Oryzias latipes: one gene and its partners. The protein of the gene in region 1 binds, or shares a complex with, the protein of each later gene. Links are inferred from orthologs where the notes say so. Each region holds a gene or a part of one and is shown on either strand. Other genes may lie near its edges. The genes, in order: keap1, nfe2l2 and fbxl17.

What was found.
Region 2: the proteins of keap1 (region 1) and nfe2l2 are in contact, whole or in part, in a crystal structure (PDB 3WN7), measured with the Mus musculus proteins. The link is inferred for Oryzias latipes from reciprocal best matches to the Homo sapiens genes KEAP1 and NFE2L2. Residues at the interface, in NP_001103775.1 of Mus musculus: Tyr334, Ser363, Gly364, Arg380, Asn382, Pro384, Asp385, Gly386, Asn387, Asn414, Arg415, Ser431, Gly433, Cys434, His436, Ile461, Phe478, Gly480, Arg483, Ser508, Gly509, Tyr525, Gln530, Ser555, Ala556, Tyr572, Phe577, Ser602, Gly603; in NP_035032.1 of Mus musculus: Leu19, Ile22, Leu23, Arg25, Gln26, Asp27, Ile28, Asp29, Leu30, Gly31, Val32, Val36, Phe37, Phe39.
Region 3: the proteins of keap1 (region 1) and fbxl17 are in contact, whole or in part, in a crystal structure (PDB 6W66), measured with the Homo sapiens proteins. The link is inferred for Oryzias latipes from reciprocal best matches to the Homo sapiens genes KEAP1 and FBXL17. Residues at the interface, in NP_036421.2 of Homo sapiens: His59, Thr60, Ala63, Ile66, Met67, Glu69, Leu70, Gln75, Leu76, Gln82, Lys84, Ala90, His96, Val98, Ala101, Ser102, Ser103, Ser104, Pro105, Val106, Lys108, Ala109, Met110, Thr112, Asn113, Gly114, Val122, Ser124, Glu126, Gln163; in NP_001156787.2 of Homo sapiens: Asp395, Arg397, Arg421, Lys423, Asn447, Gln473, Tyr475, Met524, Arg548, Asn572, Cys574, Leu575, Trp577, Glu596, Tyr598, Val600, Ser601, Asp623, Trp626, Lys628, Tyr647, Met651, Arg652, Val676, Leu677, Asp679, Cys680, Thr683, Leu684, Arg686.

What each region holds. Positions count from the first base shown.
Region 1 is NC_019859.2:10,405,487-10,415,049, forward strand, and holds the end of keap1 (kelch-like ECH-associated protein 1), read left to right. Parts: coding exon 1-26; intron 27-304; coding exon 305-550; intron 551-1,299; coding exon 1,300-1,976; intron 1,977-4,019; coding exon 4,020-4,225; intron 4,226-5,098; coding exon 5,099-5,275; intron 5,276-5,442; coding exon 5,443-5,696; 3' UTR 5,697-7,190; downstream 7,191-9,563. UniProt on the Homo sapiens protein: Substrate-specific adapter of a BCR (BTB-CUL3-RBX1) E3 ubiquitin ligase complex that regulates the response to oxidative stress by targeting NFE2L2/NRF2 for ubiquitination.
Region 2 is NC_019879.2:22,678,652-22,688,818, forward strand, and holds nfe2l2 (nuclear factor erythroid 2-related factor 2), read right to left. Parts: upstream 6,627-10,167; 5' UTR 6,458-6,626; coding exon 6,431-6,457; intron 3,697-6,430; coding exon 3,430-3,696; intron 3,348-3,429; coding exon 3,255-3,347; intron 3,174-3,254; coding exon 2,994-3,173; intron 2,232-2,993; coding exon 981-2,231; 3' UTR 591-980; downstream 1-590.
Region 3 is NC_019867.2:7,786,799-7,797,139, forward strand, and holds the start of fbxl17 (F-box/LRR-repeat protein 17), read left to right. Parts: upstream 1-4,285; 5' UTR 4,286-4,482; intron 4,483-4,489; exon of another isoform or gene 4,490-4,598; intron 4,599-5,893; 5' UTR 5,894-5,913; coding exon 5,914-6,396; intron 6,397-6,698; coding exon 6,699-7,064; intron 7,065-7,630; coding exon 7,631-7,753; intron 7,754-7,920; coding exon 7,921-8,178; intron 8,179-8,366; coding exon 8,367-8,498; intron 8,499-10,341. Other genes in the region: thioredoxin-like protein AAED1, read right to left, coding at 1-80, 1,694-1,747, 1,838-1,906, 2,085-2,267. UniProt on the Homo sapiens protein: Substrate-recognition component of the SCF(FBXL17) E3 ubiquitin ligase complex, a key component of a quality control pathway required to ensure functional dimerization of BTB domain-containing proteins (dimerization quality control, DQC).

The DNA of each region.
Region 1 (9,563 bases):
TTCCCATCGAAGGGATTCACCCCAAGGTCAGTGGCATTTGCTTAGAATTCATCATTTTAAGGGGTTTATTTCCATGTCACGCCTTGGAATAACAGTTTACGTTTTGTGGTGCAGTGAAGTGGATGTAAACAGGATAGATGTCAAAGAGAAGATGCCCAACTGCTTTAATATGGAGGGACTGCTCTGTCTCCAGAGGATTTCAGTTTAACTCGTTTCCAATCTAAATGTTTAACTCCCTTTTGAAGATGTAACTGTTAGTTTCTATGTTAAGGAATGAAAAAGTTCTCAAACAACTCCTTCTCAGGTTATGGAGCGACTGATTGAGTTTGCCTACACTGCCAGCATCTCCGTGGGAGAGAAGTGCGTCATCCATGTGATGAACGGCGCCGTCATGTACCAGATAGACAGCGTGGTCAAGGCCTGCTGCGACTTCCTCGTCCAGCAGCTCGACCCCAGCAACGCCATCGGCATCGCCAACTTTGCCGAGCAGATCGGTTGCACAGAGCTCCACCAGAAAGCCAGGGAGTACATCTACATGAACTTCAGCCAAGTAAGGCAGTGTCACAGAGCAAAGATAACTTTTATGTAATCTTGCTTGTATTTTTCCACTGACTTGCCACCAATCAGAAAAAGTGGGGAATTTGAAGTGGTTTTGGAAGTGAAACCTGTTTCACATCTTCCATTGTGGTTCTTGGTGGGTGCTTTTCCCGCTGCAGTGGGCCATGACCCATGGCGAGCTTTATTTTGTCATGGTTGGAGCATACGTGGTGGCAAAATATGACTGTACGTCAGAGTTAATTGATCTTTGACAAGATGAGCAAGCAAATTCATGTCGAGTTGAAAGTCTTGTTGCACAAATATTTGTCATTGAGAGCTTTTATCATTTTGTTTTTGTTTTTTAATTAAAAAACGTGTTTGAAAGTGTAAAAGGTTCTTTTATTCTTTCTCAATGTCAGGAAATAGCTGTAAAAGTCTATGGTTACTTCTGTTCAGTCAGAGTATTGTTTTTGCAAAAGTTTTTAAAAGTGAAAATGGGTACATGATAGAACCTGCTGAGTCAGTTTGTTCAGGAAGTCAACTGTAATCTGTTTCCAGGTAAACACTGAAATATTTTTTCATGTAAATGCCTATTAAGATGAAAATAACTGTTTTTTTTTTTGTTTTGTTTTTTTAGTAGTTTTTACAGAATATGTTTTAAAACCGTTTTGCTCAGGTCATCTACTTGTTTAAAAAAACTTGTTTTTATGATTTTCATTTGTGGAAAGAAGGTAATTGAGCTGTATTTTTTTTTTCTTCCAGGTAGCGACCCAGGAGGAGTTTTTCAACTTGTCTCAGTGCCAGCTGGTCACCCTCATCAGCCGCGACGAGCTCAACGTGCGGTGCGAGTCTGAAGTCTTCCAGGCGTGCGTGGCCTGGGTGCGCTACGATCACGAAAACCGTAGACCCTACGTCCAAGCCTTACTCCAGGCTGTGCGCTGCCATTCCCTGACCCCCAACTTCCTGCAGACCCAGCTCCAGTCCTTAGACTGGGACCCACAATGCAAAGACTACTTGGCTCAGATTTTCCAGGAGCTCACCCTCCACAAACCCACCAAAGTAAACCCCTGCCGAACACCCAAGGTGCCTCAGCTCATCTACACGGCAGGGGGGTATTTCCGTCAGTCCCTCAGCTATCTGGAGGCGTACAACCCCTGTACAGGAGCATGGCTGAGGCTAAGTGACCTCCAGGTGCCCCGCAGTGGTTTGGCCGCATGTGTGATCAGCGGCCTTTTCTACGCCGTCGGCGGTAGAAACAACGCGCCCGACGGCAACATGGATTCCAACGCTTTGGACTGCTACAACCCCATGAACAATTGCTGGTGTCCGTGCGCGCCCATGAGCGTCCCCAGGAACCGGATCGGGGTGGGCGTCATCGACGGCATGATTTATGCGGTCGGCGGTTCCCACGGCTGCATTCATCACAACAGTGTGGAGCGGTAAGTCTAAGGAGACGGTTCATCAAACTCACTCGTGATCAGGACGTTCTGCTCCACAGCTTTTAAGCCTGTTGATGTGAGAGGATTTGAACCTCTGTATGTTGGTTGCTCTGCGGTCTGTTGACGTCCAGACAGCTGTGTTTGTACTACAGACATGTGGTTTATTTAGTTGACTGTATGAAGCTGGATTTGCCACAAACAAAGTGTCTGGTAACTTCTTAAAAATGTTGCATATTCTTGTCTTATCAACAGGTTGACTCTTGTAAAAATCTACAAATTTATGCCAGAAAATTGAAGGTCAACTTCTATATTCTAAATTCCTTTTGGTTTCATAAATATTTACTGTGGTTTAGATTTGGGGAACAATCTTTAACTGGTTCAACTGGCTTGTTTTACATTCAGTTAAATAAATGATCTCCTTTTTTTTTCTTTCTTTTTTTAACTAAAAGAAATAACATTAAAGCGTGACCTTAGTTCTAAAACTGCAATTATTAACTAAGCTAGCCAAAGTTACGCTGAAAGAGGAACAAACCAAACCTGTCTACATGGTCAGGTGATGACGTCAGGGAAGCTTAGTTCTACAGCAACAGAAGTGCAAACTAGATGTTGAGAAAAGAAACGTCTGCTACTTGGTTACAGTCATTCATTTAACCAGGTGCTGCATTCTATCAACAGCAAAAAGCAGAACAAACTTCCTTTGATTCAAGGACTCGCCAGTCTGCCAGCTTGAAGAAAAACGAAGAGAAAAAATGCTAAAAATGTTCTGTTAATGTTTGCTTGTTTGACAACTTATTTTTTAAAGTGAAAGATTTAACAGGGATGTGAGAATATTACACAAGAATTATAACTCGCCCTTAAAGTGAGTCCTTGTATTTTAAAGAAAATGTGTAGAAGTAGCTGTGATTGTGTTTGTTTATCAGCATAGTCATCTATATGAACCTGCTGACTGGGATGTGGCAGTTTGATCATTACACCCTCTCTTCCTAGCTTATCACATTAGCAAACTTCCCCTTTTAAAATGGTTCATATAATTTAATCCAGCATTAATGTGGAGTAATTCTTCAAATCAAGTGTCATATTTTTAAGAAAAATCCTTTAAGATGCACTCCAATCATCTTTTGTTCTATTTTCAAACCGTTCCCTGTGGTCTATTACTTATGATTATGATGTTTTCAATCAAATAAACTATAGTTTTCTATGACATAGTATCTGCAGAGCGGCAGTAGTTCATCTAAAAATTCCCCTCTGAGGCTGTCGGCGTGTAGCAACCTCTCCTCTGTTTATACACATTCCCGCTAGCTTACAGCCAAAAGCTGCACGATGTGAGGAAAACTCTGAGCATTATTAGTGATCAGAATTGCGATGCATGAACAAATAGCAAAACAACCAAAAACAGAATTTCCATTTCACTGCAACAGTTTCATTTAAATAAGAGTCAACATAACTTAAATTGTACTCTAAATGACCCTAGTCTACATAGGAGGCGAACATCTAAAATAACAGGGCTCCATCTGATTGGTCAATGATGGAAAGGAGTCCATCTGATTGGTCAAATGCATAAAGAGATTTATTTGATTCGTTAAATAAGATTGTTCCAGCAAATTAAAGTTAACCATTTACTGCAATTTTCGCTGACTTTTGCAATATGCGAATTGCACAGCTTGATATCGTGACGACAAATGTTTGATTTATTGTGCAGGCCTATTACACCCCCAATCTATCATTGCAACAAAAATTACTAGCAATATCGGAGCTACCCAGCTGTACAGTTTTGAGTCAGATGCCAGCTCAGACGGGGAAAATGAAGACGTACGTTGATCTATTTGTCTGCAAGTGGAAGCACCAGAATGAAGCGGAGCATGAGGCTTGTTATCCACCGACTGTAGCGTTTTTCATCTGCTCCTGATTCACAATAATTTGAAAAAAGAAAAACTCAGAAATGCTATTTTATATATGTCCTCCATCATGAGAAAAATACATATTAGAAACACTAAAAATTTTCACCTTAGTGGGTCTTTCATGATAATTATCTGATCTCCACAGGTACGACCCAGAGAGGGACCAGTGGCAGCTGGTGGCCCCCATGTTAACGCGACGGATCGGCGTGGGCGTCACCGTCATGAACAGGCTCCTTTACGCCGTGGGGGGGTTCGATGGAGCAAACCGGCTGAGCTCCTGTGAGTGCTACAACCCTGACAGGGATGAGTGGAGAACCATGGCCTCCATGAACACTGTGCGGTCCGGAGCCGGTAAGGAAGAAACCACAAAATCAGAGGAAAATGTTAGAACATCCACAGAATCAGCGATGTTACTCATTTCATTCACAAACAGGCTGCTTGTAAAAGAAGGGTCCTGCTGAAGCAGTGTGTGGTTTTACAGTTCCTTTCTTCTTTCACCTTTTCTTTTTTTTTTAAGATGTTCTGTCCCTTCTAGGAAGACGTCTGCAAACATTAATTCAAATAGGTGTCGTCCTTCATGCTAGTGTTAAGGTTTCTTATAACCGTAGCAGGCTTGACCCTCCTTTACTTTTAGAAGCTCGTGCATGTGCTTCTGATGGACTGATTACATTGCATCTGAATATGTGCAGATTATGCCGCTACTGTTCAGTGCTGGGCAGTCCAAACCTGCTGCTGCTGCTGATCGCCGGGGTCGGCTGTGTTTTACCAACACACAGCTGCAGGGAAAGGACTGGAGCTGAACAGTTTAGTTTGTACTTTTACACATGTGACAAAGACTAATACTTCAATACTTCTTCAATTTTTGTAGGAAAAAGAGCCTTTCAGACGTTGGGGTTTGTTTTTTGTCAAAAACATGTACTTTGTTTTTATATTTAGCTATATTTATGCTGCTTATTTAATCTATCAGATAAAAATGCTAAGAAAGTCGCACACCTGAACCATTGAGATTAATGTGAAACGGCCCGTCATTGACATAAAGACTAACTTAAGATATCTTCAAGAATAAACTGTACTCGTTTATCTAAAAAAGCAGTCATAACAGAGACATTTCTCTGAGAAACGAGTTGGTATTTCACTGTTTGGGTGTAAAAGAACATGTGCTGCGTTCAAACTTTCCATCCACAAAGTCAGCAGAAAAGTTGAGTGACCTTTGTCCCGTTTCAGGCGTGTGCGCTCTGGACACCCACATCTACGTGTTGGGAGGGTATGACGGAACCAACCAGCTGAACACGGTGGAGCGCTACGACGTGGAGACGGACGCCTGGAGCTTTGTCGCCTCCATGAGGCACAGGCGCAGTGCTTTGGGGGTCACTGCGTTATGTGGACGCATCTTCGTCTTAGGTGAGTCAATTTTCCCCAAGCTGTCACACATTTAACAAAAAGATGTTTAACTTTGAAAACTTATGATGGGAAGAGCAATTTTTGAACCGTTTATATTCTCACGGACAAAAACAAAAATTCGAATGGATTTTATTGTAAACCATACATTTTGAACATTGCCCTTGCAGGAGGTTATGACGGCAGCACTTTCCTGGACAGCGTGGAGTGCTATGACCCAAAAGAGGACACCTGGATGGAGGTCACTCACATGACATCAGGGCGGAGTGGCGTGGGCGTGGCCGTTACCATGGAGCCCTGCCCAAAGGGTCTCTCGAAAAGCCAGAAGTGTGAAAATGACCCGTCGGCGGATCCATCTGCTGGCTGCGATAGGCCACACTGTCAGTTCTCGAATGGACCCTTCGGAAAAGACGCCTCATTCTGAGCCGCGGTTCCGATCACGAGAACCCTAAAAATAGAATGAAAACACAGACGGATGAGGACACAAATCCTGACTGATTGTAGAGAGGAAAATGAAACGCACATAGAAAAAGTCATTAGTATTATCAGTGCAGCGATGATTCTGGTTTTAACTAAAGCCATCTGCACTGAATTCTGTAAACCAAGTATGATCCGCACAAGTCCATTTTTCCAATTGTGATTCATTAGTCTATGGTTGAAGATGATGGAGCTCTGCGCATCTGTTCTCTCTGCTGTGGAAAAACTGCAAACTGAGGTTCCTGTAGGCTCAAAGAGTCGTTTTCACGAGATGGAAGAGAGAACCACCTCCTTATGGGAACAGAACATGGTCCTTTTCATAGGTAGACGAGTCTAAAGTGCCATTGTAGAGCCTGCGGGCCATTCCCCTATCAGTATAGTGTCGAGACACTCCCCAGGTTTGGTCCAGTTCATCCAGTTGTTGAAGACAAAGCTCCACACAAGACCATTTTTGTAAATATTTCTATCAGAAAAAGTAGATTTTCCTTCAAGTCCCTAAATTTTCATGAATCTTTGTATGATTAGGTAGTAGAAGACGTGACAACTTTTAGGGTCTCCATGTTGAACATCAAGTTCAAACAACCATTTTTTTCCTTTCTGTTCTGCTCAATTAATGCAAAAACCTCTGGAAATAAGCGAAATGGTCACAATTAATAACAATGTTAGAACTTTGAGGTCACCAGTACCAACATCCTTTATGAAGAGAAGACAAATAAGGAAATCTCTGTGAAGTGACCATTTAGAGGTTTTCCACAGTAAGCCGGTTTTTCTTTTTTGTTCAGAAGAAATGGTTTATGTCCCCAGGAAGAAGAAAAAAATAGTCAACATTTACATTTTGAACGGAGCCCATTGTCTTATATTGAGTGTCAAAGACAGAATAGGTTAGCATCACCTTAGCAGCAAACATGTTGAGTAAAACTGCAGAAGAATTTTAGAAAGGAACAGTTTAGTGGTGTGCAGATCCCAAAAAAAACAAAAAGTTTAGGTTGCAGTTGAAGCAAACTGCCATCAGCATCCCACCGATTGTGTTTGTGTGAACAAAATGACACAACCTGGAGTCATTTTGGTTTCAACGTCTTAGAGACCTTAGAAAATGTAGAAGTGAGCATGGTTGTGCGTTAGTGTTCAAATATTGTATACTAATGACAAAACCTTGCTGAAATGAGTGTATTTGTAACAGCAATTAAAGCTACAAACATGTTTTTAAAGACAGATGTTGTACATTCATTCATAATCTGAAAAGTCTTGTACAGAATTCCAGAGTTCATTCTTTAATTTATTTGTTGAGACGCGGTGATTTTCCAGTGGCTTTAAACTGACATCTGCTTTGTAACTACACACTCCTTGTGTAGCCTTTTCTAATAACTAGTTTGCATTGTGACTAAGTGGAAATCCTGTTGATGCTAATTTCTGATGTTTGATTAAAAAAAAAAAAACTTCACTCTGAGTTTTTTTCTGTCTTTAGTTGGAATTAAAATGGAAAAAAAGTCTTTCTCAATGTTTTTTTTCCTACAAATGACTGTAATTGTATTTATTTCAAAATGTGTATATTTGATGCAATACCATCATTAACCCTTGTGCCATCTTAGATGACCCCACCCTTGCATTGACATGTTCTTCCTACCATGATAAAGGTGGAAAGATTTCATGTAATCCATGATCACAAATCATTGAAGAAAACAGGTTCAGTGCACTGTCTAGTGGGTCTAGATGACCCAAATCCCAACGTTAAAGTGCCTAGGATGGCCCAAGGGTTACGTTTGTTGATGACACCACAGTGGTGGGGCTTATCTCTGGAAATGAGTCTGCTTACTGGGACGAGGTGGAGCGGCTTTGTGTCTGGTGTGGAAAAAACAATCTGATTCTCAACACAACAAAGACAGAGGAACTGGTGGTGGACTACAGGAGGAACAAAACAGACATTCAGCCACTGCAAGTGTCCTACCGTTGCTCAATAGAGAATATTTTAACATACTGTGTCTGTGCCTGGTTTGCCAGTAGCACAGCTGCGGCTAGGAAAGCTCTCCAGAGAGTCACCATGAGAGGCCACAGGATCATCAGCTGCCCTCTTCCTGTCCCTGGAAGAACTGTACAATTCCCGCTGCCTAAAAAAGGCTCGGAACATTCTGCAGGATCCATCACACCCTGAACGTTCTCTGTTCAAACTGCTGCCTTCGGGCAGAAGATACACGGCAATTAACCCTTGTGCTATCTTAGATGACCCCACCCTTAACCCTTGTGCTATCCTAGGCACTTTACCATTGGTAGTTGGGTCATCTAGACCCACTGGACAGTGCGCTGAACCTTTTTTCTTCAATGATTTGTGATCTTCACTGGTGTCCATGGATTACATGAAATCTGTCCATCTTTATCCACCTTTGTCATGGTAGGGAGAACACATCAATGTAAGGGTGGGGTCATCTAAGATAGCACAAGGGATATGTGTGTGTGTGTGTATGTATATATTTATGTGTCTGTGTGTGTGTGTGTGTGTACGTATACATGTCACAACCTGTAGTGACCGACAGATGGCGCTAGAATTTCATCAATTTAGTGTTGTGACTTCTGCAGCCTTCAGCATTTTTCAATAAGTTCACCACCTGAAAATGGTTTGGATGTTTGCTCCAACTTTTTTGGAATTCTGTAGCTTGGTGTCACGGCTGCAGTAAATGCAGACGGTTATTTTCTCAATCCAAGCAACAGTTGATAAATATTTTCTTTTCTTAACTCCCCCTGCAAATGGTGAAACTTTTCTTTATGGTGAGTCTCATAGTGGTGCTGACTGTTGTAGTGTTTGAGCACCTTTTGATAAGATACCAAGCATGCAGGTCTTGCATTCAACTCTGTGAACAAATAAAAATCTTTCCATTTCTCCTGAAAAGCTCAGCCCTCCACTTCAACCTTTTTTGTTTGTTTTTGACAACATCTTGGTCATTAGGGTGTCACTATTGATCATTCTTATAGCAATGTAACAGCAGTGAGGCTCACGCGGAACCAAACTTCTGTACATCTTACTCAGACAGAGCTGTTAGGTTTCGCATTTGGCACATGCAAAGATATGCTGTTTAACCTGTTTTGCCTTTCCTTAGCTCCCCCTAGTGGCGGATTTGCACATTTCGGTTATTTCTTTGAAAAGAAAATCACAACTCGCCCCAGGAATGGACTAGAAACGTGTTTTTTTTATCCTTTTAATTTTTACTCTTCATGACTGGGCCAGATTGAACCGTCTGGCGGGCATACAGCCCGTGGGCCGTATGTTTGACACCCCTGGTACAGAAATTAAAGGACCTGTTCTGGCAACTTCCTGAAAAAGAAAAATGAAGCAAAAACATGAAAGTTTTCTTTGAAAACTTCATCCTCCAATAAAATCTTAATCTTTTACGGATTACTGCCTTTGGTATTTCAATTAAAAATAGAATTCATTACAAACATTTAATTGATAATGACTTCATTTGAGTAACATTTTAATATCCTTTTTTTAAGTATGAGCATCAGTGTTTTAATAAAAATAATAATAAAAACTGTTCAATCGTGGATCTGAATGGCTTCATCATAGACTGCTGAGAAAGAGTTCCTTCGATTTAAAGTGGGAGTGATCTGAAATTCACATCCGCATGTTTGGACTCACTTTTTTTTCCTTCACTCCGGTGATTTCCTCTGAGGAGACGAAGCTGCCCTGCCTGAGTGACTGACTGACTATCTGACTGAATGACTATCTGACTGACTGACTGACACCCGCGGTGTCTGCCCAGACGCAGGTAAGCGCGGAACTCACCTGACCCCCGCCGCTGTTTCCCTGTAGACGAACCTGATT
Region 2 (10,167 bases), on another chromosome or scaffold:
AACTATTTTTGTAGAACACGTTTTATGTCCTTTTATTTTAGAAAACTTTTTTTTTTTTTTATGGTCTCCTTTCATTGACGATCTGCAAATATCTGTTGTGCAATAAATCGAGTTTGTGAAATAAAACTGTCAATGAGGTGTTTTGTCACTTTGATTTCATCACGGTGCATCAAACCCTTTCACCTGTTTAACTTAGTGGGAATGGTTTTGGTGATCAAAGGTGAGACAGTGCCTGTGTGTGAGAGTTCATGTATAGTGAAAGCCACACGGATCATGACGGTGTTAGCCTTTGCTACCATATTCTGTGCATTTGGTTATGCAACCACACAAAATGTATTTATTTTAAAGGGAGTCAACGATATTAAAGTTACTATGCAACCATGTTTGCTTTAATAGAAAGCAGGTAATGGATGATAAATCCTGCAGCATGTTTGCTTCCCAAGCCCCTTTCTAAAGCTTTTCATCTAACTTGGCTCCAATATCTGGTTTGTTATGTAATCTCTGTAAAGGCTGCAGATCCCTCCCTTTGCTTTTTTATTTGATGGGCTCTGCTTGAATGGTGTGCTGGAACAAAAAAACATTTCAATCACTAGGTTTTTAAATTGTTTATTTAAAAGCATAGAAGAAAGAATTTAAATTAACTGGACAGCAAATTAGATGAGTTATAAAAAGTAACTGACAGAATCACAGGCATACGGAAATATGATATATATACAATATATACACGCACAGGACATTCTTAGGAATCTCAATAGCAGGTGAGGCTTAATATTTACAAAATATTGTTTATAGAGACTGTGACAATATTGGAGTATAAAATAAGTAAAATATCAAAAATATTACAACATTCATGAGACGTTAGCAAAAACGAATGAATGCTTCCACCAGGCTGCCACACCTTAAAGCTGAGCTACTACAAAGTTATTGCATAGTTTCTATGGTGCTGAAATACACTATTACAAAGGCGAAAAGTGGCTTTCCTAGATCTTAAAAGTCTTTTTCATGCGAGGGACGAGAAAGATGCTGCCGTCTGTGGACTGCTGCAGGGAGTACTCCGACGGGGAGTATGAATTCCCCTTCTCATCCCTCAACTTGCCAAAGACCTCCAGGTACAAGCTGTTAAGCTGTCGCTTCATTTCCTTCAGGTTTGTGGCGTTTTTACTCTTCTCGTCCAGCAGACGCTCTTTTTCTTCCTTTAGCAAGTCCAGTTCATGCTCCAGACCCACTATGTTCTCCATCTTGCGTTTGCGGCAGTTTTGAGCGGCTACCTTGTTCTTGCCACGGCGACGAATGTCGCGGACCAGGGCCAGCTGGGCCTCGTTCAGCTCGTGCTTTGACATCATCTCGTTAAAGTCATCGACGGGCAGGTTGATGATCATGCTGACTGTGAAGGGGATTTTAAGGGCCTTCGCCCTCTGCTCATCTCGAGAGAGACGCACATCGGAGCGTTTCTTTGGTTTGTCTTTGGTGAACGGTGTGCCGCTGTGACCACTCTCTTCAGCCGGATCTTCCATATGTTGCTTTGGTTTCTTGTCGAGCTGCTTGCACTGCCCAGTCTGTTCCGACTCTGGTTTTGCTAGTTCAAGATCCTCGGGTTGGAAATTCAAGCTGAACATCTCCGAGTAGTCAGACTCAGCACTGCCGGGGTTGTGGTCCAGGTCGTCCATTTCGGAATCACTAAAATTATAGGAGCCCCCTCCATAAGCAGATTTGCTGGGGGAGCTGGAATAAGGACTGGAGTGAGTCGAAATTCCTGAATCTGAATCTGGGAAATCTGCTGGCAGCCGTTTGCTTCTGTCAAACACATCTTCAGGTGAAAGGGTGTACAGGTCCATGGGCGTAAACGAGGGCTTGCTTGGTATCTCGGACACATTTTCACTTTCCTCGTGGCCATGCTGACTGCTGCTCTCTTCCACGATGGTGTCAGGATAAAAGACACTGGAACAAAAGCTGTCTGGGGTAAAGTTTGGATTCACCTGAGGGTCTTCCACATTTATCTGGCTGATGTCAGATGGAGCCATACTGGGAACAGGGCCATCACAAGTATTCATGAATTCTCCGGGACCAACATTTAAATTTTTTGTTTTTAAATCTGAGGCACTGGGCATAGGGTAGTAAGGAGTATTTGGGAACAACTGGTTGTTTGGGTAACTTGGATTCTGCACTTGAGGACTGGTCTGAATCGGAAAATTTGTGGCCTCCATTGTTTCATCCACTTGCATTTTGAAACACTGTTGGAAGATAAAAAGACACAAAGTTTAGGGGGAGAAAAAAATAATAAGGGCACAGTTTCCATAAGGCTCATTAATTTTAAATGGTTTTAGAATTATGTAGGTAGACAGCATTAAAATCTAAACATCTATTGGCAGAAATTGGTTCTAAATCAGAGAAGCCCAGGCTTGAAATCAAGAGCTGCTCCATTTGAGTGGTGTTGTACCAATAGCACATATGGAGCTAGTTCACACCTAATGATGTAAATGGATAATCCTAAAACATGGGAACATAGTTTCCATGCTTTTTGAACCTTTCGTACAACAATTCCAAACATCCATTTTTTGCTTCTGAGCTAGTTTTAGCAGCTTGCCCAATCATGTTAAGCCTCATGGTTATCATTGTAATCTAGTGCACAGAGGGACAGGACTAGGCAAGTAACACGACTAAACTCCGCCCTTTGGCTAATGCAAATATGAGGTGTAGCTACCGGAAAGAGACAAAAAAAAAATGTCTACACCTTTTACCCAGTTAGCATAAGCATCATTAGTGCCGCACCTTCCCCGAACTACACGCCTACCAGTTCTGCAACTTTAAGGTCACAGCACCAAACTGTGAACGTGTAATGTTTTTAATGCTTTCAACTGCCAAAGCAATAAAAATATTCTGTAAGAAAATGAGCAGAGACATTTTCTATTTATTTGCATCTCTCACAAATAATTTAGCCCAAGCCTCCTTTTGTTCATTTGAATATTTGTTCCAAACAAAAATGGGAATTATACCTGAAGCTCTGGGAGGGACAGAATCTCCATCCAGGCCTCCTCCAGATCGGGGGTAACTCTTTGTGGAGGAGTCAGCGGGTTTGGGAGGACAGCGGGGGACAGGGCCGGCTGTTCAGAGGGCATCATGGTGCCACTGGGGTACACCGAGACAGGAGGCAGCTCCATGCAAACTGAAGGATTCTGCGCGGCAAACATACATTTGTAAACCAGAAGTCATACCATAGGCTGTGAATTTGTGGCAATTAGAGATGAAACTCTTACCTCAGTTTCCCCTACAGGAAATGTCTCTGCCAGCAGTTGCAAACATTCGTCAAATGACATGCCATCTCCAGTCTCCTCAGTGAAGTTAGCATCCTGCAATCATCCAAGCAGAGCCCATTGAATGAAGAGGGAGTGGCCCACCTCTGACACAAATAATATTACAATGTGCCTGTACCTGAGAAATTTCGATGGATACGACAGCCTGCTGCGGAGGGAGGATGGGTTTTGTGTGAGGTATGTACTCTCCAGTCTCTTCATCTAGCTTCAGCTGCGCCAGCAGGGCCTTCTCTTGCTCCCGCAGCAAATGCAGCTTCTTTTCTTCCTCCAACTGGCGCTGCCGCTGCAGCTCGTGCTCCTTCTGCCGATGGTTGTAGTCGAAAACCTCTCGCCTGGCACCGAGGTCGATGTCCTGCTTCCAAAGTATGTCAATCAAGTCCAGGTCCTGAAAAAACAACCGCAAACAAAAGAGTTGGAAGCCATTGTGCACTCCTGCAGAGAGAATACGCTTAGTGCTGAAAGGAGAATTATTGTCCCTGCTGTGAAACATGGCTTTTGCACCTGCCACACCCTGTCCCCTCCGTATCTGTTCGCTCACAGCAACACTGGAGTTAATGTCACGAGGGAGAATGGCTATGAATAATAAACATGCTTCTCTGTTTCCCTTGTTGCCGCCACACACAAGCAGAATCCCAATTTGACACGTATACCCATCTCATTACTCCAAAGTGTGAATTCTTTTGTCTCGTTTAATCTCCCGGACAGTCAGGTAAGGTCTCAATGATCAGATTAAATTTCACTCTGGTAAACTAGCCTCAAGTGCTTTTATTTGGTAGCCTTTATAAGATAAGAATAAGAATGAGTGATCGTACATGTATAGCATGATCTGGAAAGAAAAAATGTTACACAAATAACTTCATAAAGTTTAGGGTAAACATTGCAGGAGTGTAAGGGTTGAACGTTAGACATGATATAAACTTTGTTCCATCCATGTCTGTGGACAGCTACGGTAATCTCTGGACAAGTTTGCAAAACAAAAGTCCATTTTGAATTCTGGGTTTACATAGAAATAAGCATGAAAATGTTTTCTAACCATTTCCTTTCAAATTGCTCTCACAGACTCAAATGTTACTTAACTTTCAAACAACACTCTTAAAGACAAATTATGCTACGCTCTTAGGGATTTTTTTTCACCATAATTTATTTACAGAAGAAAACTATTTCATAAGGCCTCAGGATATTGCATAAACCCAAGATACTCTTCCACAGAAAAAAACCACCAGACCATATGACTTTTTTTTTCTCCCCCAAATTCCTATGAAAGTAGCATATGAGCTTTATAATATTCTGTTTTGTGGTTTTCGCAGACTGAAACAACCAAAAAAAACTAGAAAAAAGGAACAAAAAGCAGACATTAAAACAATCCACTAACAGGCTGTGAAACTGCACTGAACAATATCAACAATTCTCTTTTTTTTACCTAAAAGAAAAGACATGCAGCATAAATAATCATTAACAAACGGGAAAATATTTTGGTCACTGTTGACACAGACTTTGAGACAGCGGCAAAGCAAAATAAGAACCCACTAAGTCTGTGCTTGAGTGTTGCATCAGAAGCTGGACCATTAAAGCATTACTCATTACTAAGGCTGGTGAGCATAAATCATGGCAAAGAGTGTAGAAGCCCAAAACCAGGAATTATGGTGGCTATAGGAATGAGGAAGTTCCCTAAAATGCTGCAGACCCCCTAACACTGTTGTGACCACACCTGAATTAAAGAAAAGGGAAAAAAAAAACGACTAGAAAAGAAGCACATTCTGAAACCAGTTTGACAGCTTTCTTAAAAATCCAATAAATACAATGTAAAAATACAATCAAGCGTTCAACACAATTCATTTTTCCAAAAACCAACTGTAGATTCAGAAGGACTACATATAATAACATCTTAAAAATCTTTAGATGGTATAGATTAAGCAGACAAACAGTTGGTGTGTGCATTTCTTTGTTTTGTTTTGTTTTTTTCTTCCGACACCGTGACCTTGATTCACCACAGTCTGACTGGCACGTGAACAAGGAAGCTTAACACGGGAACATTCTCAAATTTCCCAGATAATACGCAGGCGGTGAGCAGCTAAACCAACACAACCATCATGTACTACTTCTAAAATAGAAACGGAATGTACCAAGACCAACCGAAATCATTGATAACTCCTGCAATGTATGCCTACTTTAATGTAAACAAAGTCGAGTAAAAGGGAACTTGTGTTTATATTACACAAACTTATAACATTATGTTCTGGCAATGACGACACACAGCTTTTACAAAACTTAAAACATGGCTGAATGAGTCTTTCAGGGGGGCGTTGAACCAAAAGCAGCGGATATTACGTAAACTAACTTAATTCCTATATTGATTATTATTAGCTTAATTTGTATTTGTATGGAAAACCAGACAGACAGTAACGACACAACTTTTGAAGAACCTAAAACATAGCTAAACTTAGTCATTTCGGGGGAACGTTAAACCAAACACAGCAACAACAAAAAATTAAGCTAACCTCAATTCCTTGATATTATTAGCTTAATTTATATTTACATGAAAAAAACACGAGCGACCTCAAGCTGTGGTTCTATATCATGTGACACCAAAAAGGGGAAGAGCGAAAGCAGATGCTAATGTTATGTTTTAAGGAAGATACAAGCAAATCGCTACTCTAACAGTTTCACATTGGTTATAAAAGACTTCACTGCATTAGACACGGAATCACATGCTAGTAGTTCTAGTTATGGGATGGCGTTGGAGGGCCAGTCATAAGGAAGCAAGATTCCAATCTGTTTATACAAAACTTCACCCAACTTTGAGAGAAAAAAAGGCTACATGTTATAGAATCATGCATTACAATAACAAGATCTGAGTTTTGTAAGTCAATGAATGTGAAAGACTGACAACTTTCAGAAAATAATCTTAAATATCCAGAGCCATCAGCTGAGTGAGTAGCTAGCTTAAGAGACAGGTTGACGCAAAACATCCTCACAACATTTTTGTTTTCGCAATAAAAGCCTGTTATAGAAACTGAATATATATGAAACACAGCGCGAAGTCCAAATTTCTTTAAAGATTACTGTGAAACTATAATTGTCCGATCTCTAATAAAAATAAAATGTATATTTATGTTTACCTGGTTGGAATCTCCCATCTCCATCATTGTCCCGCAGCTTAAACGCCCAAAGACGGAGAAATAGTAGTGATAATCCAAATTTTTTTAGATAAAATGATGAGCAACCAAACGCCACAAGGGGCCCGTCACAGCGGCACCGGACTTTCGGGAAATATTGCCTCAGCCAAGGCTGGTAAACGTTAGGGAGCTGGTGGCCCGCCCGCTGGGGTCGGCCCACTCACGACGGCCTATGAGAATGAAGGGAAGCACTCAGTGAGCATGCGCGTTGGGCCAACTGGGCTCAGATGCAGCAGTTTTACAATGGTAGAGATAACTGTTGCACAACATATCAGTGGTTATCATGTAAAAGTTATGATCTATGAAAGAAATAACTACCGCTGGGATTTAATAAGATAACTTTTATTCAAATCAACTATTCAATAAACTCATAAAAGTCACCGACTTGCGTCATATAGATATAACTGCTTCAAGTTTTGTTTAGTGTATAGCGGCCCCTTCTGGTCACTTTATGTTATGTCATTGGACTAAAGGTTCTTCAACCCTCATATCCCCATGACTGTATTACAATGTAAAATGTCATAGAATGACCAAGAAAGGTAAAATATTTTGTCCAAATACTTTTTATTCACGATAGGGAGTTAACTCAAACAGGATTTTCACTATTTTTTCTTCACAAATTGTGTTACCTCTTAAAATAAAGTTTACAGAGAAACGTCAAAACAAACTTTTGATTTAGATAGTATGTAAGATTATTATGACCCTCCAATACTGTCAAAACTATAAACATTCACAATATGTTTGAAGTCAATATTGACTTAAACCAAAAATATCCTAATGTAGGCCATTTAGATTGAAAATTGAACTTTAGTCTTATTTATTATCAAATCAGCGTGAACTCTGCATGAACCTGGTACTAATGTGATGGAGATAGCCAGTTCTTGTGACAAAGACATGGTCTGTTTTTGCACTCTGTGCGCATTGTACCAATAAAAATAAAGACAAACACAATTCTTATGATATTTCCAATACTGGTAGATCTACAATCCATATATATAAACACGGGTTAAAATTCATCCAAAATGGGCTCAGAGGACAAAACACCAGCATGTACAGGTATAAAGTAAAGTACTTTTGATGTTTTGGAAAAATTATGTGATTTTAGCTAAAAGTTGTTTAGAAGTGTCTAAAAATGGTCAAATGGAACCCTAAGTTGTTAGTAAAATGGAGCAAAACGTTTGCCTGAAAAAAACAAAAGTGGAGGGTATAATAACTACGGTACATAAATTGCATGAAGTCCTTTTGAAAGTATTTAATTTATTAAACTACTAATGATAAGTGACTATGGTGTATTACTTAATTTGGGTCAGCACAGCACCTAAATTGTGGGCAAAAATACTAAGTACCTGTGTTGTTGTTGTTTTTTTCTTTTTATGAAGCTGAATGATAGTTCACTGGAAGTAATAAGGAGCAGTTTTGCAGCCCAGTGTGGGCTCATTTTGAATTTTCTAATGAGATGAACAATCAAGGACTCTCTAACGAGAGTGATAATGATAATATTTGATTTCATTCTTAAGTAAAGATAGGACTAGTTAAAAAAATACAAGAAATATCCTGAAGAGAGTGAGAAGAAGTAAAATCCTCAAAATTTTAGACCAAATTTATTACTACACCCAGTGCACCCATTATCTATTACAGTATATCTGTTTCCATCTCTGATGGCAACACATCCAGGATCAGATACCCATAAACACTCACATTACTACAGATCAGTATACATACATGGATGCATTCAACACATTTTTCATGAATAAACACTCATTTGGTTCCTTTAAAATCTTTTCCCCTCAACACATTAATATGCACCCCCACACAATTCAAATTTATATTCATGAATATCTACAGATTTATCACAGTTGATTCATGTTTTATACATATCTATCAACAAAATTTCCATATGTCATCTTAAACTCCTTTATATTTGGACATTGTTTTTAGTGTAAACTGATTCTTTTCCACAGCTTCCCTTCACATGTGGATACACAAAACCTTTTTTTTTAGCATGCCTTGTGTATAATAAATATACTTTTTTCACAGAAATTATGTTGTTCATATTTTTTATGAATAATTTTTTTTGGTAATATACTGCTTTCTGCTTTGCATATTAATAAAGCTACAGTATTATCACAAAGTTTGAGTTATTTTGACTGAATAAATAAGTTGTTTGATTTAAAGTAAATGCAAACTAAAATAATTTTAAGATATACTGGATATTTTTGCATTACTGTTTAAAAGACATAAGCAACCAAACTTTAGGAAAATAACAAGCATTTCACATTTGCACGTTGTGTTTTTATTAATATAGTTTTTTGTTGTCAGTTTTTGCTCCTTTTTTAATCCTGTCTATCAAACGTTATTTGTTTTCGTAACCGTGGAATGGCTTGACAGAAGACTGCTGGCAAACATAATCTCACTGTAATCTTTCTCATTAACACTTGATCGAGTTTGACTCTTCTGCGCATTAAAGTGAATCATGAAGAGTGTCCTTTCAGTGAAAGATACGTGGTCCTGTCTCTAGCACATGTGTGTGAAAAACTTTAGCTCACTGTGCCTCTGCGTGAAATTACACACACAGAAAAAAGGCAGTTTTTTTCTCCCCCTGTGCGCGCTCATGAACACGCGTTCACGTTTGGCAGCTCCACGTCGACATTCTTCCAGCTGCATATAGTGAACTGCACAGCACTGGGGGAAGAAAAGGTAAAACCCTAACACTTCAGGGCTGCAACTTCGCAGACGGACACCAACCTCACTGAAAATAGACTTTTGCACTTTGAATCTTTGCACCGTCCTCTGTTCGCTTATAGTTGTGTTTTTTTGCGTTTTGATCTAGTCTTTGCCCCTCGTGTTGGATTGCAGCTGGTCCCTTGCGGCTACCTTCATCAGGTACAGTATGACTCGCAGGAATCGCCTCACCTTTAGTCTACGTTTAAATTGCTTCCTTTTTTCAGGATTGTACTACAATAACCAGTTAACTTTTTGTTTCTTCACATACTTTTGCGTTGTTACTTCAGTAGATTGCTGATACAGTGCCATGTCAACGATCTTCAAACTGTTGCAAGTTGCTGGATTCAGCTGGCTTTTTTTAAATTTGCATTTTTCTTGCTTAATGTTTCCACACACAAAAAAAGCTTCTTCTGAAGGGCCTGTTCAGTTGAGAACGTTGTTGAAGATCAACAGGTTGAACTGATAACTCCCTTAATAATCCTTATAAAGATACAAAAAAACACAAAAAACTATAAACTTTAGACTTCTAAATTGAAGGGGGGGAAATTATGTACATTTTGCAACCAAGCAGATGGCCAGACTTCATGTAAAATAATGCCATTCAATTTCTAGGGAGATTTTTCTACCCAGTCAAATAGCTGGAAATAACATTTGCGATGTTCCCTATAAATGTGTTCAATGGTGTAAAATAAAAAGACGACACCTGTCCTGCTGTATGTGTTTGATGTTATCCCAAACTCTCTTCGTTAGGACTTAACATCTTGTTCCATCACATTTTAAAAAGAAAAATCTGCAATTCTGTGTTGTATTTTCACAGTAGAAAAATCAGTTTATTGTTAAAATTGTCTTCCTGTATGTCCTGTTCTTTTTTTTGTGGTGGTTGCAGGATGAAGGAATACGTACATGAGGTCCCATAGAAGGACAGACCTGTGAGGTGGCACTGTGGCTTTCCAAAT
Region 3 (10,341 bases), on another chromosome or scaffold:
TTCATACCAAGCTTTTGATAAATGCACCTTTCTGGATCTACATACATTTCATAAGAATACCCAGTCAGCAAACAGAACGGCTAGATGAAGGACAAAACAAACAAACAAACAAACAAACATGGATTTTACCAACATGTCACATGGTTGATGCTTATTTCAATATTAAATTGGCAAGAAAGAAAACAACAGTATGCACATGGTTCAAGGGAAATGATAAAGTTTTGTCACCTTAACTGTTGTGGTTTACATTGTTCAGCTCCTCTTGTGTCTCATCTAAGCATCAAACTTAGTGCTTTCTGCTTATTCAGATAAGATAAAAAAGGTGATAAACTGCATGTTTCATCGTATCCTTGTTTTCTGTTAGTATTGATATGATTGAAAGAATAACTTTGCATTACAATGACAACAATCAATTTTGCCTAGAGCAAGGGTAGAATCGTCAGAGAGCAGAGAAGAAACTGCTTCAGGTCATACCAGCTACTGTAAACAGGATGAACTGGTAAGGCTTTTTGTGACTCATCTGCTTCTTATTGATTTGATTAACTGAGTGTTTTTTCTTTTGGCTCCCGGTGCCATCTGATCACACAAACCTGAAAGGTGTTTGAACATGCCCAGTGAGGATGTGGTAGGGAGGAGAATTTGAATGTAAAAATTTAGAAAGTGAAAGAGCAAAACAAATGTTACCAGGTATGTTCAGTTAGTCTGCTTGTGTGATCTAAGACAGTGGTCCCCAACCCCCAGGGTCCCCAACGAATCATCTCCATGAGTTTAGGGGGCAAAACAACACACTCATGCCAACGGTGAAATGTAATTTCAGTGGTGTCAGTCCGTGGGTCACTTGGTACCAGGCTGCAGGGAGAAAAATAAATACATACGCCAACTTTGATTCTTTGTGGCTGTTTATTTTCTGATACTGACGGAAGTTTTATTTTGGAAAAGCACCGGATTCTGTTCACCACATCCGTCTGTCTTGACGCGTCATGTGATTTTAAGCAGCTTATTGGACAGCTAAGTTAGTAGTCCCAAAGCTAAAAGGCTGATAGAAACCAAACAATTAAACGTATTTGGAAAGTTTCTTCGAGGAGAAAAGTGTCAGTGAGGAACCAGAATAACGGTCTTCGGCTTCAAAGAAAAATAAAGCTGCTGTTAACAGACAAAACCAGGAGCTTTCCTCCAAATACAGATTTATTGAGACAGTCCAAGTTTAAACCAGCCGCAAACATTTGACAGAGAATTAATATTCAATCAAATAAAGTTGCTGATTTGTAAAAACAAAAAATGAATAATATTTTTGCCCTGAAAGATGATTGAAAACTTGGTTCAGGTATCTGTGTTATAAAAGTATTCTTTGATTTTTTTTTAACAAATCAGATGCAAGAATATATTTTTTTAAAAAGTAGCAGAGCAAGAATGGTTATTCTGACAAATATGACATAGTAACAGCTGTTCATTTATTAATAGAAGTCTGGGAGTTTGGCTTCTTGGAGCCAGTGCGAACTTCCTGTTTGGAACGCCAGGGGGGAGGGACCACTCAATCCAGGTCTCTTATACAGTCAATGTTACTGACACGTTTCTGACAATAAGTTTGTTTCAAAAAACATTTTTTTTTGTTTTATTCCGACAATATAATGTGGATTAATGCGTTGTTTAAATAAACACTTCATAAAATGTTTGCATGATAATACAACTTTACCTCTATGTGGTGATGGGAGGACTGACCAATCACAACCAATTTGACTGCAGCATCCTAGAAAGACATCAACAATGTAGTAATACCTTTGAATATATTTATTTAAGGATCGTAAAGTGGTTTAAAAATGGCAGCTCTGGGACTCACCTCCAGGGCTTTTTGGGGTATTTTACTTAAATCTTCTACATACTCCTTGCAGCTGTAGCATAAGAAGTTCTGCAGGAATACATGACATTAAAAAAGCAGGACTCCAAGGTTTCAATAAGGTTTTTTTTTTCTCCAGTCCTGGATAAGAAGTTCTGAGCATCGTTAGGTTTTCTAATCTAATTCATGTCCAGCCTGCCTGAAAGAGTTTTTCACAAAATAAGAAAGAACAGCAACAGTTTTTTCCTACCCGAACAAAAACGATGATAACTTTCCTGTCTTGATATAAGGACTTGAACGGAATGGAGACTCCGTGTCGGTCGTAGATCAAGCAGTCTTGCGCCTCTTGCAGATCTACAGGCGGGTTTTCAGTTTTTTTCCTGTGGCTGTCTTTGGTTATTTGTCGGGTTACTGGTGGAACAGTTGCAGCCATTTTTTTCCTTCTTGCTTCCCGACACTGCGTGTTATTCTGTGAGTTGCCGTTCAGGCTGGAAAAGCTGCAGCCAGACTGCACGTTTCCGCCCATAACTCTGCGTGCACGCGCACACAGACGCACTGAAAAATATGCGCTTTTAGTGCACAGAAGCGATTGATTATCATTCTGTTAACACTGTTTAAAATCTCCTTTGTGTTGTAAACCTTTTAAATAAAATGATCTTATCTCTTGTTCAACTTGTTAACAGAAATTTATTTTTGTTCACCAATATTAAAATGCATATGGTAACTGTTTATCATTTATTTATTTTATTTGTTTTTGCTTTTTTACATTAGTTTAGTTGGCATACATTTAACCAAATGTAACAAAGAAAGGTTTTCTCAGACTGTATGATGAACTATAAATATTCATTATTATTAGGTTAAAAGAAGTCTACAGTAAAGCTATTATTTAATTAAACTAAGATTCAAAATAGATACCCAAATGATTGATTTTTTTTCATTTTCCTACATACAATTATACAAGCTTTGTATTTTTGTTTTAAATTGCAGAAATGTGTTTGAAAATATGTGTTGTTTAGTTTCTCTGAACACACAAATCCTGGGGAAACTGGGGTACAAATGATGTCTTGCAGGACTTTAACAGAATGCTTTCACAGTATAACACTTGTAAAGTAATACATCATAAAAAAACGTGTTTTTTACAAGTAGAGCAAAAAGTGTATGACACACAAAATACAACAATTTCATTTTAGAAAAACAACAGAGATCAGGAAATCAACAGATGTTATTCGTTTCTGGCCACTTTTGGGCAAAGGCAGGGGACATCCTGGACAGGTTGGCAGTCTGTCGCAGGGTCACAGATCACACACCCATACACACAAACAATGACACCTATGGACAATTTAGAGTAACCAGTTAACCTATGAAGCACAGAAAGGTCCCCATTGGTGTTGTGTTTCAGGTCCCACAGCCAGGACTAAAACTGGGGGCCTTCTTGCTGTGAGGCAAGAGCGCTAACCACTGCACCACCGTGCAGCCCTGTAATGCCTTCATTAAACCACATTTCTATTCCTGTTCTTATTTAAGCTATTTAATGTTTCACAATGGGAGTTGGTGGGGGGTTGAGGGCAATGCGTGTTTTATGTATACTTTAGTTATAGATTTTTGCATGAAGGTTTTGTTTCTATTTTTAAATATGAAATGTTTTTTTTCCCACTTGTTATAGTTTGTTGAGTTTGAAGAAGGTGTTTTTATGTTTCTCTTTCTGTATCACCATTTTGTTTGTCTTTTTTCTTCATATTTTTTTGTGTAAAAATGCTTTTTTCATCTGGCACAATTTAGAGTGGATATGTATGTTGTGTGTGGATAACAAAAGCACAATTTTGTATAACTGACATTTGTTAATCCTTGCTCATCTTTGGTTGTGTGTCATTTTTCTATTTACTTCTCTCATTTCTTTCTCCAGGTAAATGTTTTTCTGTTCTTTTATTTCTCCAACGATTTCTCTCTATACATATTCTTCACCATCGTTTAGCATCAAATTCTTTTTCTTAAGGTCTAGAGCCTAAAACAAAAGACATTTCTTCGAATATAAAAGAGGTTTATATTGACGTGCACCTTCCATGTAAACAACATGCATGAACCAGATTGTTAACTGTCCAACACAGAAGCAGCTGGACAGGAGTAATACAACAAAAATACATCTTTATTTGGTTGGTTCCTTTTTGGTATCTTCAGGATGATTTTTTGCATCCTATGAAATTTTTATTGTATCCGATTAAATCCCGGTCTCTCACATTTTATATTTACTTTGTGTATTCAAAGTCCAATTTGCATACTCTCTGCGTGATATTTTTCTTGAAACAATAAAATTACTCCCAGGATTAAACGAGTAATAAATACAAATCTACAGGTGATGGAAAAATGTCACCCTCTTAATCATCTGATCATCAGTCGTCTGGGATTCTTCTACCTGTTATTAAGCAAGTTTGCTGTCGAAATTGTCCTCGCCGGCTTCTGTAGCTCTGCCCCCCTTCGCTGCGGAAGTGTTGTGCTCAAGTGCAGCAGAGCCAAGCTGCTGGAGTCTGAACAGACGCTTCGGCGGTTGTGTGTTTGCGGCCGCCTTTCTCCGTGTCAGCGCTCACCGCTACCGTCAACCCGCGCAGTATTATGTGAAGAGCGTCCGGACGGAGGGAGCAGCGTGTCAAGTGGTGAGAGCTGCTCCATGTTGGAGGAGAACAGCTAGCTTAGCATCTGTCTGATGATGGAGGAGCAGGTTAGCCTCTCAGAGGGCTCCTAGCTGTTGTCTCCAAAGGAGTTTGAAACTGTGAGCGGATATTTATCATTTTGCAAAGTGTGGGATAAGCGTTTGGCTGCTTTGTTTGTGTGTGGTAAAACCCGACCACCTGTTCAGTGTCTACATCTTTGTGTTTGCAGCAGTCGAGAGCAGCAGATGCATGGATGGAGCTCTCGTTGTTTACAGATTCGACAAGGAGGACGAGCAGTTTAGGCATTAAAACCGATGGCCAATTTCTATCACATTAACTTTGACTCACAAAAGTTGCAGTCAATGTCAAAAGTTGAGAAAAACCTGATTGATAAGTCAATTAAGGATTTCCCTTTTCATTTTTGTTCATTGGAAGAACTTAGCAGTTTACAGGAAAAAAGCCGTTTATTTATGGAAACCTTAATCTTGTGTGTAATCAAACATTGTATGCAATATTTAGCTTTAATACACAGTAATAATAATAATAATAATAATAATAATAATAATAATAATAATAATAATAAATTGTCTTTCTTGAAACTCAAGGTCGCTTTAAATAAAATAGTGACATAGTTGAAAACAAACATCAAAGCAGCAATAAAATATACTCTTATAAAATTGGCCAAAGCAGTCATGTTATTATGGGCTGTGGTGAATAGATGGAGAGAAGCAATGTTTCAGAGGTAAGGGAGTGCTGTTTGTTTCACAGCCTTTTTAATTGGTGTTCTTCAGGCTTTGTACAACCACAGTCCAATTTTTAAAAACTGATTAAAAAAAACATTCATTTTATGTTAAAATAAAAAAAATTGTTTATAAAAGGAATTTCATTTGGAAAAGATCTTATTTCCAGAGTTTCTTTTATTTGATGTTTTCCACATTCATTCGTGGAAGATTCCCAGTAAAACCAAACTTTCTACGTGGCCTCTAATAAGCTCTAAAAAGTTGTATAATGTTTAATTCCATTTTTCTGTGATAGTTATACACAACCTGTAATTGTGAATGGAATGATTTACTACTCAGTTCTGTCACATGACTGGACCAATTAACCAAGCCTATATTTTAGCCTGAATGCAGAGTTCTTCTGGGTCAATCAGTTGGCTTGTCATTTATTTCCAGGTTACTGTCAACCTCTTTCTCAAGTTAAACATGAAATCCTCTGCTGACATAAATGTTAACTTAACTTTGCTTTTTTTATTGCCAATGTCAATATTTTTGAAGTAACCCTGAAAAGTTTTTGTCTAAAGATTCAAGAGGAATGATTAAACACTTTTAGTACTTAATTAACTCTTTTTTTTTTCTCTCATAAATGTTATTCAAATGTAAGATTCCCTTCTGTTTCTTTTTCTTTCTCCAAGAGTTACCTTGAATCTTCTATATGGGCCATCTTTTCTCGAAAAATGGTTTACGCCTGAAGAAGAGGACCCGCAAGTTGCAGCACAAGAAGAAGAAGAAGAGGAACTGTTTCCTGCAGGGCCCGTGCATGCTCTGTTTCCTCGTCCACAGCAATAGCAGTGGTCTGGACGACGACGGTGACCATCTGGAGGCCGGCGTGAACGGGTGTTGCCACAACACAATCACCGGAATCAGTGTCGCGCACATTGGGGGCGTCGGCCTCGGACCAGCAGCTGCCTCAAAACTCGCCGAGCGATACGCAACAATCGCCTCACCTGAGGAGTGCTCCAAGTACCTGTTGTCCCCAAGGGAGCTGGGGATCTGGGAGGGCCAGGGGAGGGGCATTTTATCCGCCGTTCCTGCCAAACTGATTCCAGCGCCGGCTCTTTTCCGAACGGCTGGTGTGTCTGTGACTGTGCCCGTTCCTGTGCCTATACCCAACTGCACCGTCGACTACACTGAGATGGTAGGCACTAACCTCACATTGAAAAGGTGCAGCAGGAATCTGTGGTGATGGGTCAAATTGTTTTGCTTCATGGTGCCTTCAGCTGGTTACTCTTGGAGGAGTAAATATTCATATTTTGATCATTTATTTAAAAGAGAGGTTTGTGTTTGGGCTTGAAAGAAGGCTGGTTAGATATAACTTTAGATGGTCAGAAGTGGAAGACATTTTCATCAGTGAATAAATAAGATAATCAGCTGAATGTGAGCCTGGTGTGTTTTGGTTGAAAAGCACACCTTTACATGATTGTGTGTTTCTGCCTGCAGGTGTGTAAGAGGAAGTGCTCCGAGGTGCACAGGTGCACCCCTTGCAAGCAGCCGCGCTGTGCCTTTGCCGCTCCTGACGGAGGGCTGGAGCACGACGGAACGGGAGGAGAAGAGGCTGGCTCCAACTCTGAAACTGGCCACTGCCACCTTCCACTATGCCCAGTTCCCTCCTCGTCCTCCTCTTCCTCTGCATCCGCCTCCTTGCCTGCTGATGGCTGCTGCGGGCTGGGCCTTCAAATGGACTCGCCCCACAGCTCAGACTCCTCCCCCTGCTGCCTGAATCACTATGACGACTCTCAGGCGAGAAGTTCTGATGCTGTTGATCACTTAAGTATCAACCACCTGCCTTCCTCCATCCTTCTCAAGGTCAGAAGGGCTTTAGTTCATCATTTTTTGTTCCCATTTACTTAAAGACCCAGTCCGATTAAAACGTGTTTTTTTTAGCATGTTCTTGTGGCCTTTATCTGATAATGGAAGGCATATGTAAAGAAAATGTAGCTCAAATTGCATTGTTGAGTATTTCTTTACTCAAATAGTTGTGAATCAGGAGAAGACGAAAAAATGCAGTTTGAAAGAGAACTTCTTTGTGACATCAAATACAACTGGCGGTCCACAAGCTCCCTCCTCCGCTCCATTCTGATGCATCCACTTGCAGACAAATAGATCCATATCTGTCATTGTTTTCCTAATCTGGCTCTAAACTCTACGGCTGGATAGCGTCAATAAAGTGGGAATACTTTAAAAATAGATCAAAAGATGATCAGAGTGGGACTTCAACTATGTCAACTAACTATGTCAATACAATGATATTTTTTGTGTTTTATGATAAATGCGCAATGAAATTAACAAGGATTTTCCCTGTTATAAACTGTTTTGTCAAACGAGCATTAGTTGTTAATCAGAAATGCCTCCTCCTCTTCCTCCCACCACAGGTGTTGTCCCACCTGACAGTGAAGGAACGCTGTCTTTGTGCCTCTCTGGTTTGCAAATACTGGAGGGACCTCTGCTTGGACTTTCAGTTCTGGAAGCAAATCGACCTCAGTGGCCTACAACAAGTAAGAGATGTCACGCTCTGAAGCTGGTCTTTGAATTTTGTAAAAATATTACTTCCTGCTGTTGTTTTTTTAGTTTCTGTGTATTTAAAAAAATTCAGTAATTCCATATGATATGAGTATGCCTGTAAAAACTATGCAAGATCTGATTTTTATGTCATTTGTTTCAGGTTAACGACGATCTCCTTGTGAAAATTGCTTCTCGAAGGCAGAATGTGACGGAGATCAACATCTCGGATTGCAGGGGGGTGCACGATCATGGTGTGTCCTCCTTGGCCTCACGCTGTCCAGGCCTGCAAAAGTACACAGCCTACAGGTGCAAGCAGCTGGGAGACATCTCCCTGTCCGCTTTGGCCTCACACTGCCCTCTCTTGGTCAAGGTGCATGTTGGAAACCAGGATAAACTGACAGATGCATCACTGAAGAAGGTATTTTTTTCAAGCTTCTCTAAGAATGTGTTACGACTGGCAACAGGAACATACTGATACGGCCCAGGGCCGTAACAAATGCAAAGAATATCTGGTTAACGTTTTTAATATCAGACAGACACAATTGATGGTTTCATTTACTTGTCTTTGCTTCCTTTAGTCATTAAATCCCCATTTCTTGCTTCTAGCTGGGAACACACTGCAGTGAATTGAGGGATATCCATTTAGGACAGTGCTACGGGATCACAGATGAGGGCATGGTGGCGTTGGTCAAAGGATGTCCAAAACTGCAGAGGCTCTACTTGCAGGAGAACAAAATGGTCAGTTATCCTCCTTTTCTTTCATAGTTTTGTACTTTTTTTGTTCTGTTGGAACCGTTTTACGTGACTCAAGTTTCTGGTCACTTGTTTTTTCATGTGTTCTCTCTACCTGAGCATAAAGTGATGGTGTGTAATTCACATTGGTCAAAAGAAAGAGTAGTGGACAGTGGTCCCTCATTTATTGCGGTAACATTCTAAAAACAACCCACAATAAGTTAAATCTTCTAAGAAGACATTTCATTTTTTTACAATAATCAAAAAGGTTTTAAGGCTGTAAAAGCCCACACTACACACTTTGTTCACTGAAAGCAAAAGGGAAACAAACAAAGAAAAAAAATAGAAGTTGAAAATACAAAAGAGCAGCTGTTACAAATACAATTATTTTCATTTGGTAATAGTTTTAGGTTTCAATTTTTTTAGTGTTTAATATGTTTATTTTATTTTACAAATATATTACACAAACCAGAAAAATAACAAAAAAACGGGAAAAAAAACGGGAAAAAAACACCCATATATACTCACATGAAAAGAAAAAGGAAAAAAGAAAGAGAACTTAGCCGTACAAACAGAAGGTACAACAAAATCAATCACCTGTGCATAAAACCAAAGTTAATCCTGAACCTTTGTAGGCTGCTGATTAAAGAAGTCCAGAAAAGGCCTCCATGTCTCAAGAAATTTTCTTTCTGAGCCTCTCACAGTATAACGATTTTTTTCTAATTTGAGATATGGTACAGCACTTCCCTAATCCAATGTGTCACTGTGGGTGGGGCAACATCCTTCCACTTCAAAAGAATTAGGCTTCGAGCCAGAAGGGTTGAAAAAACCATTAGTTCCTGACCCCTAGTAGGCAATTTTAGGGTTGTATTCCTGACTCCAAAAAGGAACTTTAGTTCCAAATACAGCTATCAATGTTTCACCAACTTTGCCCCAAAAAACTTGTATTTTGGGACATAACCAATACATATGAATGAGATCAGCCTCTCCAGTTTTCCATTTATCACATGTAGGTTTCAATTTTTTAAATCCAAGTTTCAAATGAAAATTCTTTTTCAAAATTTAAATATGTTCTTCAACTTAACACATTTCCTTCAAATTTTCAATATTTCTTTCAAATATACACCCCCCCCCGATTTTCAATATTTTCTTCAAATGTATGACCCTCCTCTAATTTTTATATATTTACTTAAAGTCAACAGAGTCTACTTTTAAACTTATTTTTTTAAATTGTTAATTGATTTCCTTTTTCAAATTTCTGCCTTTTTTCCCGTTGTGCTTAAATCTGGTTTTTCATTCCTTTCAAGCTAATCCTAATTTGACTGAATAGAAAATAGAAAAATAGAAAGATCAGATCATAATAGAAGATTTATGTAAATTTGGCAACCTGTTTGAATTCTCCAAAGAAGATGCTGTCCTGAAGACGCATCAACTTTATTTATGTGAACATACACTTTTAAGATATTTTAAAGACCGACTATGATTATCTTTGATCTAGTTTAAAAGCGTTCCCAGTGGTCTTTTCTTTAGGATCATGCCGTTTTTGGACAAAATCAAAACACCTGAGTCGTAGCTGTGGCTGTAGTTCATAAGCAATTCGCCTCTGAGTTGTGGGTGGGGAGAGCTATATGTTTACACTCTCTCCTGCTGGCTTAGAGCCCCTCACAAGCCCAACCTAACATTACTGGTGCAACAAAACACGGGCAAGCAATATCAGAGCTATCCAGCCGTACAGTTTTGATCCAGATGCCAGCTTGGACGAGGAAAACAAAGGCATACGTGGATCTATTTGTCTGCAAGATGCATTAGAATGGAGCGGAGCAGGGAGCTTGTGGGCCACCCTTTTTTT